Linked DNA regions of Bombyx mori. The protein of the gene in region 1 purifies or fractionates together with the protein of each later gene. This does not show direct contact. Links are inferred from orthologs where the notes say so. Each region holds a gene or a part of one and is shown on either strand. Other genes may lie near its edges.

The links. Proteins that work in one complex are often made in the same cells at the same time.
Region 2: the proteins of ubiquitin-protein ligase E3A (region 1) and probable 26S proteasome non-ATPase regulatory subunit 3 purify together in Homo sapiens (affinity purification with mass spectrometry, with the first as the bait; 4 studies listed by BioGRID). This does not show direct contact. The link is inferred for Bombyx mori from reciprocal best matches to the Homo sapiens genes UBE3A and PSMD3.

What each region holds. Positions count from the first base shown.
Region 1 is NC_085119.1:5,211,147-5,215,693, reverse strand, and holds the end of ubiquitin-protein ligase E3A, read left to right. Parts: intron 1-2,874; coding exon 2,875-3,213; 3' UTR 3,214-3,352; downstream 3,353-4,547. UniProt on the Homo sapiens protein: E3 ubiquitin-protein ligase which accepts ubiquitin from an E2 ubiquitin-conjugating enzyme in the form of a thioester and transfers it to its substrates.
Region 2 is NC_085110.1:10,832,285-10,838,141, reverse strand, and holds probable 26S proteasome non-ATPase regulatory subunit 3, read right to left. Parts: upstream 3,172-5,857; 5' UTR 2,965-3,171; coding exon 1,480-2,964; 3' UTR 1,379-1,479; downstream 1-1,378. Other genes in the region: protein enabled homolog, read left to right, coding at 5,081-5,716.

The DNA of each region.
Region 1 (4,547 bases):
CTGTAGCTCCATTATTTATAATTTTAATTTAACGCTGAAAATAGCCCGCCGCGCGCCATTGTTAGGTTGCGCGCACGGCCTCGAAAGCGAGGACGTCACTTAAAAAAAATTTTTTCAAGTACTTAAAGTTAATTGAAAAATCTAAAAAAATTATTGCATAATCTAAACACTTTAAAAAATTTATTCCCGTTGGAATTTTTTATAAAAACATATTTTTCAATATTCTAGACGATTGTTAATTAAGAAAAAAATTTCCAATTTCCACCATCCTTCTAAACTAAAAAAAATGTTTAAATAATTACCTTAAAATTATTTCGCTTCGTGGACCTCTTCTTATAAATATATTAAACAAGATTGCGTCGTCTAAGTTATGAAATTGTTAATATTTTGTTAATAATAATTTTTTTAAGTTAACACAAAAGAAAAAGCACAATTATGTTGTAAAGAAAATTTTTTTCTTTATTTATTATTATATTTTCGTTTTTATGTCAATAAAAGACATCTTTTAATTGAAAAATTTAATTAATTATTTTTTTGCAATTATATTGTAAAGAAAAAAATTTTCTTTACAATATAATTGTGCTTTTTCTTTTTTGTTAACTTAAAAAAATTATTATTAACAAAATATTAACAATTTCATAACTTAGACGACGCAATCTTGTTTAATATATTTATAAGAAGAGGTCCACGAAGCGAAATAATTTTAAGGTAATTATTTAAACATTTTTTTTAGTTTAGAAGGATGGTGGAAATTGGAAAAAAAATTCTTAATTAACAATCGTCTAGAATATTGAAAAATATGTTTTTATAAAAAATTCCAACGGGAATAAATTTTTTAAAGTGTTTAGATTATGCAATAATTTTTTAGATTTTTCAATTAACTTTAAGTACTTGAAAAAAATTTTTTTAAGTGACGTCCTCGCTTTCGAGGCCGTGCGCGCAACCTAACAATGGCGCGCGGCGGGTTATTTTCAGCGTTAAATTAAAATTATAAATAATGGAGCTACAGTTCCGGGAGTTGGAACTTTTTTTTACTAAATTTCCTCCTCTTTAAGGATCTTTTTTTCAAATTTCGAAAATATTTATAGTTTACGGACAATAAGCAATAAACGAAACGCTATTTTTTGAAGGTGTTTAATTGTTAATAACTTTTGGAATTTTTTATGTGCTAATTCAATTTTTTAGCACAATGGTCTAGACATTATTCCGAATCGAATGAGCTAAACCACATAATTTTAGCAGTAGTATGTCGAATTAACACCATTTTTAACTTGTCGACTAGACTATGAGGTGCAGCCCACCTGTTGTAGAGTATGGACATTATTACATGAACGTTGCCAGTTATCTTGAACCATGGTGACTCGATGCAGTGTCGCCAAATGTTTGAAAACTTTCCCCCTAAAGCAATTTCAAAAACCACTAAATTCAAAACAAAACTCCCCAAAGGACGGACCAAGTATTTATTCATTACAATATAAGTAAAGAAATAAATAAAAATAATAAATAATTAGTTAATAACAATAGTTATTTAGTATTTTTAAGTATTTTTCTATATAAAATTTTATCCCTAAAAATATCCCCAAAAAATTTCACCCCCTAAAAAAATCCCTGTATAGATTTTTCCCCCCTAAATTTGGGGGGAAAACCCCGGAGTTGGCATCACTGATTCGATGTTTCTGTTTCATTTTAAAACTTCATTTTATTGTACTTGAATTCTGTGCTAAAAGCTTTTTAAACATCATTAGCCCCACCTCTTGTCCGTTGACGGTACTAAATATACTACAAATTAATAGTCAACAGCTTTTGTTGCAAGTTTAAATTCATTGATAAACGAACACTCTTAGCACATATTAGATCTTACTTGTGGTATGTCGTATTATAGTCTCGCATCAGTAGGCTCAGTTCAAAGCCGCGAACCAGCGATTCGTATCTTTTGAAGGGTGAAACAGCTGTTATATTTACTTATTTAATTTAGAACACGATAGGTCTCAAAGTAAGCGACGGTGTTCACATTGTCACGATGTCTATGGACTCCGGTAGCCACTTAGCGCTCGTAGTTCGTTATACTCTGGGTGCTAGGAGACTGCTTCCGAAAACGAAGACAGACGATAGTACTATTGACACCTTTGGTAATGGGACGAAAATAAAATAGATCATGATTTAAAAAAATCATATTTTTTTGCAATTGCAATGTTTGAAGTGAAACTTTAGAAGAATCGTTGTGATTTCAAACTCAATGAAACGAAAAAATAAGTCCATAGAGACACAAACACATAAATGTATAGGATTCAGCCGGCGAGAGAATGAGATAGAACACATTAGACGTTCTCGGTCTCCTCTTTGTGCGATTCTTCGTAACATCCCCATTATCGTCTACTAAACATTGTCCATATGTATGCACCTGTGTAGTGGGATAGTCACAGTGTGACTTGCACACACTTTTTTATTGTGAACGCCGCCTCTACTTCTTTTATGGCGCCTGCAAATTTTATACGTACAAAGTTGTAAATTTTGCGTCGCGCCGGTGTGCGTGTTAAAGAAACGCCGCGCTCGAGCGTTCGTTGATCCGAGCATCAGCTGTTTTTAATTTTGTGTTTCACTGCTGGTTTTCTTTTCAAATAAAGTAATGTATTTTTTATGAAACTATCGTTTCATTTAGCTGTATTAACATAATGGAGGGTAAATAATGCTGATAAAACGTTTTAAAAATATGTTTTTTTTAAAAATCAGGTTCGACTTTTTTTCTGTCTCATCATCTATGTTAGGTGTCATTAGTACTATCGTTACCTCGATCGATACCTCGTTTTCGGAAGCGGTCTCTTAACACCCAGTGCATATAGCAATACAATAAAAATACCGTATTATATTTTGAAGGTTTTCGATTTCCACGAGCTGGAAAAGTCGACAGAATACGATGGCGGCTACGCGTCCGACTCTAAAATCGTACAGGACTTTTGGGGCATCGTGCACAGCTTGCCGCTGGAGGACAAGCGGAAGCTGCTTCAGTTCACGACCGGGTCGGACCGGGTGCCCGTGGGCGGGCTGTGCAACTTGAACTTTGTGATCGCGAGGAACGGCCCGGACTGCGACCGGCTTCCCACCGCGCACACTTGCTTCAATGTCCTACTGCTACCCGAGTACGACACTAGAGACAAACTACAGGACAGACTCTTGAAAGCCATCAACTACTCGAAGGGATTCGGTTTGCATTGAAGCTATGCTATACGACGACGACGACGCAACGCAACGCGGAACTAACTCAACAAAATTAGCATAATATTATAGTCGAGGAGTCGCCACGATGATGTTTCTGTATCATTGATGATTAAAGTTTGTTTTATTTAAGCGTAAAGTTTTTTTTTAATTACTCTATTTATTATGTCTGGCTGGGCAGCGTTCGGGAAGCTTCGTCAGGTCTTTTCGTCGCCCAAACCACAATGTCTGAAGACAAAGGTCTACAATCAGTGCGTCCTACCCGTGCTTACCTACGGAGCCGAAACGTGGACACTGACTGTGCGACTAGTCCACCAACTAAAAGTTACTCAGCGAGCCCATAGCTCGCGAGCTATGCTTGGTTTATCATTGCGAGACCGAATACGCAATGAGGTCATTCGGGCAAAAACCAAAGTGATCGATATAGCTTGCAGAGTTAGTAAGCTGAAGTGGCAGTGGGCTGGTCACATATGTCGCAGTACCGATAACCGTTGGGGTAGACGTGTTCTGGAGTGGAGACCGCTAACCGGTAAACGTAGTGTAGGACGCCCTCCTGCTAGACGGAGCGACGACCTACGCAAGGCAGCTGGCAGTAACTGGATGCGTAGAACCGAAGATCGGGTTCAGTGGCGAGCTTTGTACTGCCGCAGGTTAATGATGATGATGATGATATTTATTAATTACTAGCTGTACCCGCCCGCTTCGCTGGGCATTTAAAATTAACTTTATTATTTCTCACCCCCCACAAAAATTCTCATCATTAACGCCCCTGCAACTGGTGTAGGGAGTCCAACACTCATATAAATATTAGCCTATACATTAAGTACATGTATTTTCGACATGGATATAATAGCCGGCAAACTTCTTGAGCATTTGTTGACGTAGTGGGGGTAAGTTTGCGCATGGTACACTCACATGCAAAAACATTATTTACTCTGCGTCATAATGCAATTAAATTATTAAAATCAACATATGTATTTATTTATATATTTATTAGAACATCAACAAAAAATATAGGTTAATAATTATAATAATTTAATCTTGGGGTAAAATAGATATTCCTTCTATTAAGTCAAAACTAGAGCTGTTGCCAGGTCTTCGTTCAGTTGAAGCGAAGCTGGTATTTGTAATTTTTTTTCGTTATCATAATCTTGACCATTATCATCATCACTGTTTTCATCACCCGAGTCGCCATCATCGTGATAAGTCGACATAGGGCTCATCGGTGTAGTTTACGACTCGGTCGGTTCGATCTTCTTTTTTGTCTATAATTAATTATTTTTTGAAGATATTCGATTCGTAGTAATCGAATGTTACTTTTTTCAATTACCAGC
Region 2 (5,857 bases), on another chromosome or scaffold:
GCTTCATTACCGAAAAGAAAATATTAATGGCCGAGCAGGTTGGGTTCCGCGCCAAATACTCGTGCATATAACAAGTACACCGCCTGACGGAGCACATCTTAATAGGGCTAAATAGGCGGAAACCAGTCCCGACCGGAGCTCTCTTCTTCGATATCGCAAAGGCGTTCGGTAAAGTCTGGCATAACGGTTTCATTTACAAACTGTATAACATGGGAGTGCCAGACAGATTCGTGCTCATCATACAAGACTTGTCGAACCGTTCGTTTCAATATCGAGTAGAGGGAACTCGCTCCGCCCCTGTCATCTGACGGCCGGAGTTCCACAAGGCTCCGCGCTCTCCCCGTTATTATTTAGTTTGTATATCAATGATATAGCCCGGTCTTCGGAGACCCATCTAGCGCTCTTCGCCGATGACACGGCTATCTACTACTCGTGTAGGAAGAAGTCGCTATTGCATCGGCGACTTCAGATCGCAGTAACCACCATGGGACAGTGGTTCTGGAAGTGGCGCATCGACATCAACCCCACGAAAAGCACAGCGATGCTCTTCAAAAGGGGCGCCCTCCGAATACCAATTCGAGCAGCCCACTCCCTAATAGGCGCGTTAGCACCTCCGCCGTTAGCCCCATAGATTCTGCAAAGCACTGCTCTTGCTATTGCCAGTGTTAGCAACACTCCCGGTTAGAGCCCCGTGAGCTCACCTACACGTCAAGGAGAAGCTGAAATAGCCTCTCAATGCTATCAGCAGAGGTACAAAAAAAAAAAAAAATGACCGCATTTAATTAGGTATCGTACACAAATAAAAAAATATATATTCTAATTTGAACTCTCTACTACCTTCTCTCGAACGAGACCACGGGCCATCTATCAGAAATTGTTCGATATGATCCTCCGCCTCCTTTTCCACCACAGAGTAGAGTTCATCCATACCATATGGAACCGCTGCATTTATCGACAGTGCGTTTCTTTTTTTACCACGGAACATCCGACTATGGAATGAACTCTCCTTCACGGTGTTTCCCCAGCGTTATGACATTTCTTTCTTCAAACGAGTCTTTTTTTTTTAATTGCTTAGATGGTTGGACGAGCTCACCTGGTGTTAAGTGGTTACTGGAGCCCATAGACATCTACGAAGTAAATGCGCCACCCACCTTGAGATATCAGTTTTAAGGTCTCAGTATAGTTACAACGGCTGCCCCGCCCTTCAAACCGAAACGCATTACTGCTTCACGGCAGAAATAGGCAGGGCGGTGGTACAAGACGATTTGTAACAGTGCCAAGCTTCATTAGAAGTCAAAAAATGTATGTCATTTGAAAAATTTCAAGCTAAACTAAAAAATAGCCTTAGAGGAGTTTTAATGGACACAATAAAAAAATATTTAGCTTTAATTTTATTGACTCATTATTTTTACAATTCCAAACAGTGTTAATTGAAATCTAATACACAAAATGTTGTAATATAAAATTTTATAAGATAGTTCATGGGAAACCATCATCATCTTCCTCTGCCATTTCTTTGGCAAGTTCCAGATCTTGCTGTTCTCTTTCACGGCGTTCCTCAGCACTTTCCAATTCTTTTCCGTATGATTTTGGTGGATATCTCATTGCCTTAACACTTTGGTTGTGTAAATCTAGGCAAAATGAAATCCGCTGATGAAAGGCTAACTGTGGCTCTCTAGTACAATAAATATCTGAGCTTTCTTTATTACTCATGTAGCCCTTTACAGGGTCTAATGTTGCCTCAATCACTCCATCTCTGATTGCCTTAGCAACAATGAATTCTGCATCTTCAGCAGAGTCAAGCCCTAATTTGCGAGCTATATCTTTTGGTGATATGCGAGAATAGGACAATCCAATTGAACGAATAGCAGTCTTAATAACATTCTGTCTAAGACGAAGGATCAATGTAAATGTGTGATCATTTCGGAACTGTGGCCCATAATTCTCCAATACTTCACCAAATCTTTGCAAGTTTCCAAGACGCACAGCTTGGGTGAGCTGGAAATATGGAGCTAATGCTTTACGAAGTGGAGCTTGACGGAAAATCACTCGCTCCGGTATATCACCTAATAGCAATTCCACTACAATTGCTAATTTTTGGACCGTTTGACGGAATCCAACAGCAGCTGTTTGGGGAGCTTTTCTTAAAGCCTGCACTAGATGTTTGTGTGCATCACTGTATTCTAACCTTGCTGCTTTTATTCTGCCAAGGTAGTACAGAAATCTTGCCCACTCATTGTTGCTGGCATTTTCAGGAAAAACTGACTTACTTACTAATTTATCGGCTTGATCATACAAAGAGTAGTGCAAGTAATTTCTCAACAGGCAGTTGATAATAACAGCTTGACCTTCATAGTCATTTCTCAATGTTGATGTACGAAGTCGGGCATGTAAGAGACCTCTGATCACATCCAACTTGTTAGTTAGTTCAAACACTCTTGAGTGATAAAAATAGCATTTTGCAGCAATCAAGTCAAGGGTTCTTCGATTTTGAGTAGTAACTTTTGTCATTAGTTGCTGAGAGCATTCTGTGGCTTCTTCAAGTTTGTTTGTATCCAACAAACGTAACAGCACAAGGAGATGCAAATATGTATCCACTTCGGGCACTGGCTGCTTAGGGGCGCTTCGTGACCTGGGAGCTTCTATTTCTACGGCACCAGGGAGAGGATTTTCCACAAAAGATAGTATGGTTTCTTTCTCAGCACTAGCGGGATAAATCTGATTGATAATAGCTCGCAGAACGTTACCGTTTAACTTCCTGCGAGTGCTCGGCAGTGCTCTAAGTACACGCATAGCGAATCTAGGTTCTTTCGAAGTAACAGCTTTATCGATTTGTCTGATGTGTTCTCGTAGATCCTGAACAGCTAGTACATCAGCATCTTTCTTTACATCCGCTGTCTCAACGTCACTAACAGCTGCAGGACTTTCCACATTTTTCATTTCAACATCTTCCACTGGAGCCATTGTATATATAACTGATATTTTTCAAAACAATGTGAATATGAGAATGAACGAAATCAATCTACAAATTTTAGTAAAATGCAATCTGTCACAATAATCAAAAATGCCGAGTAACTTTGTCTTTTTTTTTTTGGAGGATATGGCCTGATACCTTTAGGCCAAGTCTTGAGTGAGTAACTTTGTCGTAATGTTGGTAATGTTGCCAGCTGGAATGTGAAATAATAAGGTCAGCAGAAACGGTTAAAAATATGCATCAATTGCTACTGTACAACCATCTGACCTCTTTTCTTTTCAATTTTTTTTATGATTTGTTTTTATTTACTGTAATAAATGGGATACAAAATGGTTTTCCTCATTGTGGATATGAGCTCGTCTGTTCTATTACATCGAACCGTTCAAGTATCTTTTTAGAGAACTAGAATAGAAACAATATTTTTTGGAATATTACACATTTTAATAATTCTACAATTTATTTTTCTTCTACTTTACGCCCCGAAGAATAATTATGGTGCGACGAATAGTTCGTTACCAACATGGTAAACAGTCAACATCGCCCAAAACACGTCATTTCGGATCCTCCAGATCCGCTATCGGTGCTTTTATGTACCACATGTACCGGTCACCGTTCTCGTTGAACTCGCTGCTTGAACACGAAGGATTCGGCGAGTCAATTAACCAACAGTACGGCCCACTAAGTTTTTCGCTAGGTCTTCTTAGTGGGTCGCATTTCCGATCCGGTGGTAGAGTCTGCGTAGCTTGCTTTTGCTAGGGCTAGTGTTAGCAACGACACCAGGGTAGAGCCCTGTGAGTTCACCTACTCGTTCGGTGAATCTAGTATGACCCCTCGAGGTCACTAGAATATATCTATTTTGGCATTATTCTGGCAATATCTTATTCTGGCATTTTTTTAGTTGCTTACCAGCTACAAAAAGTGGCAACCGGTGGAGACTTAGTGTAAAAAAAATTAAAATGGATGCGCATGAGTTCGAGCTGAAAACCATTATTTAATAAATACAAAACACTGTGACAGTTACAGTTGAACCACAATTGAATTGATTGTGTTTTAAATACTTATCAAATAGTAATAGATTAAATAGTAACAAAAACAGTGTGGAGTTAACATGCAAACATCCCTACCATCTGAACAAGTTTTCGCCCCATTATTGAAAGTTAACGCTTACATAACCAATGCTTTTTCAATCATTGATAACACTCGATATTCAGTCAAATATAGTACAAGTATGAACCAAGTTCGGAGGTGTGTTAGTTAGTCTATTGAACACGTCTATAAGCGTATTAAGAATTATATATGTACCTATTAAATATGTTGATAGCTTTTTGTTAACTTTTGATTCATAAAATAGGGGAAATAGTAATTTTATACTTACATTTTGAAAGTACTCACACTTAATATTATTAAAAATTATTGAAATAGTTTATTATAAAATCTTATTATAAAATCTTATCCTCTTCAATGGAACATAATCATTATTATCGTATTGTATCATACAATCAGTTAATATGGTCCTCATTTGTACCGAATTGATGAACTATTATAAAAGTATATTTTTTTGAATATATTTGACCTATAACCATATTAACCATTATGTAAATAAAATATTATATTAAAAAACTATGTTGAATTATACTCAAAGTAATCTACAAAAAGTATTAAACCTTTTCATTTTCATAAATATAGTCGATAAATTTAGAACAAATCGATTTCAGGGTTTTTTCACATATCAATACTGATTATTTTTCAGCAACCAAAAAATAAGTGATTATTTTACATAAAATGCACCCTAAAGCTTAGAGGTTGACGTAGATATTTCAATAATGGAAACATCCGTTAAACGGCATGCTTTTGTCTTTGCCTTTTCTATTCCATAGATTAAAGACAAGACAAAACTACTAGCATTGCTCGTAGTTGCTTAACCAATACTCTACTTGGAAAATACTGATAAAATTATATTTTACTAATGTTACAGTTGAATATATTTGGATTACAACCATCACAATATTGTGGAGATTGCGTGTGCCAAAAATTATAGAAAAAGGACGCGCTACGGCTGCAGGAGACCGGTTGATTCTTCACATAAAATTTCAATGTGTTCTGGAAATGGTTTGCAAAGAGGACGTGGTATCATGGTTTAAAGAATTGGAAAGCTATAAACGCATAGATGCAATGTGTACACTGTTAAATATGTGTTTACCATTCGAATTGCGCTTCATCGGCACGTACCTAGAAGAGCTCGGTAAGCGGGACTTTCAGGAGTTGCGTGGTGCCGAACTGAGAGCTAACAATCCTACAGATCTGGCTGCGGACATAGGAGGAGCAAATGCAGACCCTAGAACACGACGAAAAATGGCTTTATATGTGTCGTTATTACGATCTTGTAATTTCGCGTGTGCTACAACTCTGTACAATGCCATGGTCAGTTTGGAACAAAGTGGCCTATTGAAGGGCTTATATGGAGATTTACTCGAAGAAATTTTATTGTTGTATACAATGGCACTACATCACCCAGCCTTCACATTTGATCAGAAATCACATTTTGGTGACATTTTGGAAAAATTAAAATTGGAAGATCAACGAATGCAATATCCAGAACAGCAAGAACACATAAATGTAGTGCCAGTGAGTGGTGGCCATACACAGTCCAATATCACCTCCAATATCACAGTTCCACCACCATCCTTATCAAACATGGCTCCACCACCAGGTTTGATGTTTGTCAAAACACCTGGGGTGCAGGTCAGTTTATTTTTAATATTTATTTTACTTTATTGCAAAGCGAACTATACGATTATTATCGTATAGTTCACTTTGCAATGTTTTTTATATAAATAAAGTAATAACAAATATTCCACATTCAACCATGACAATTACTATCTA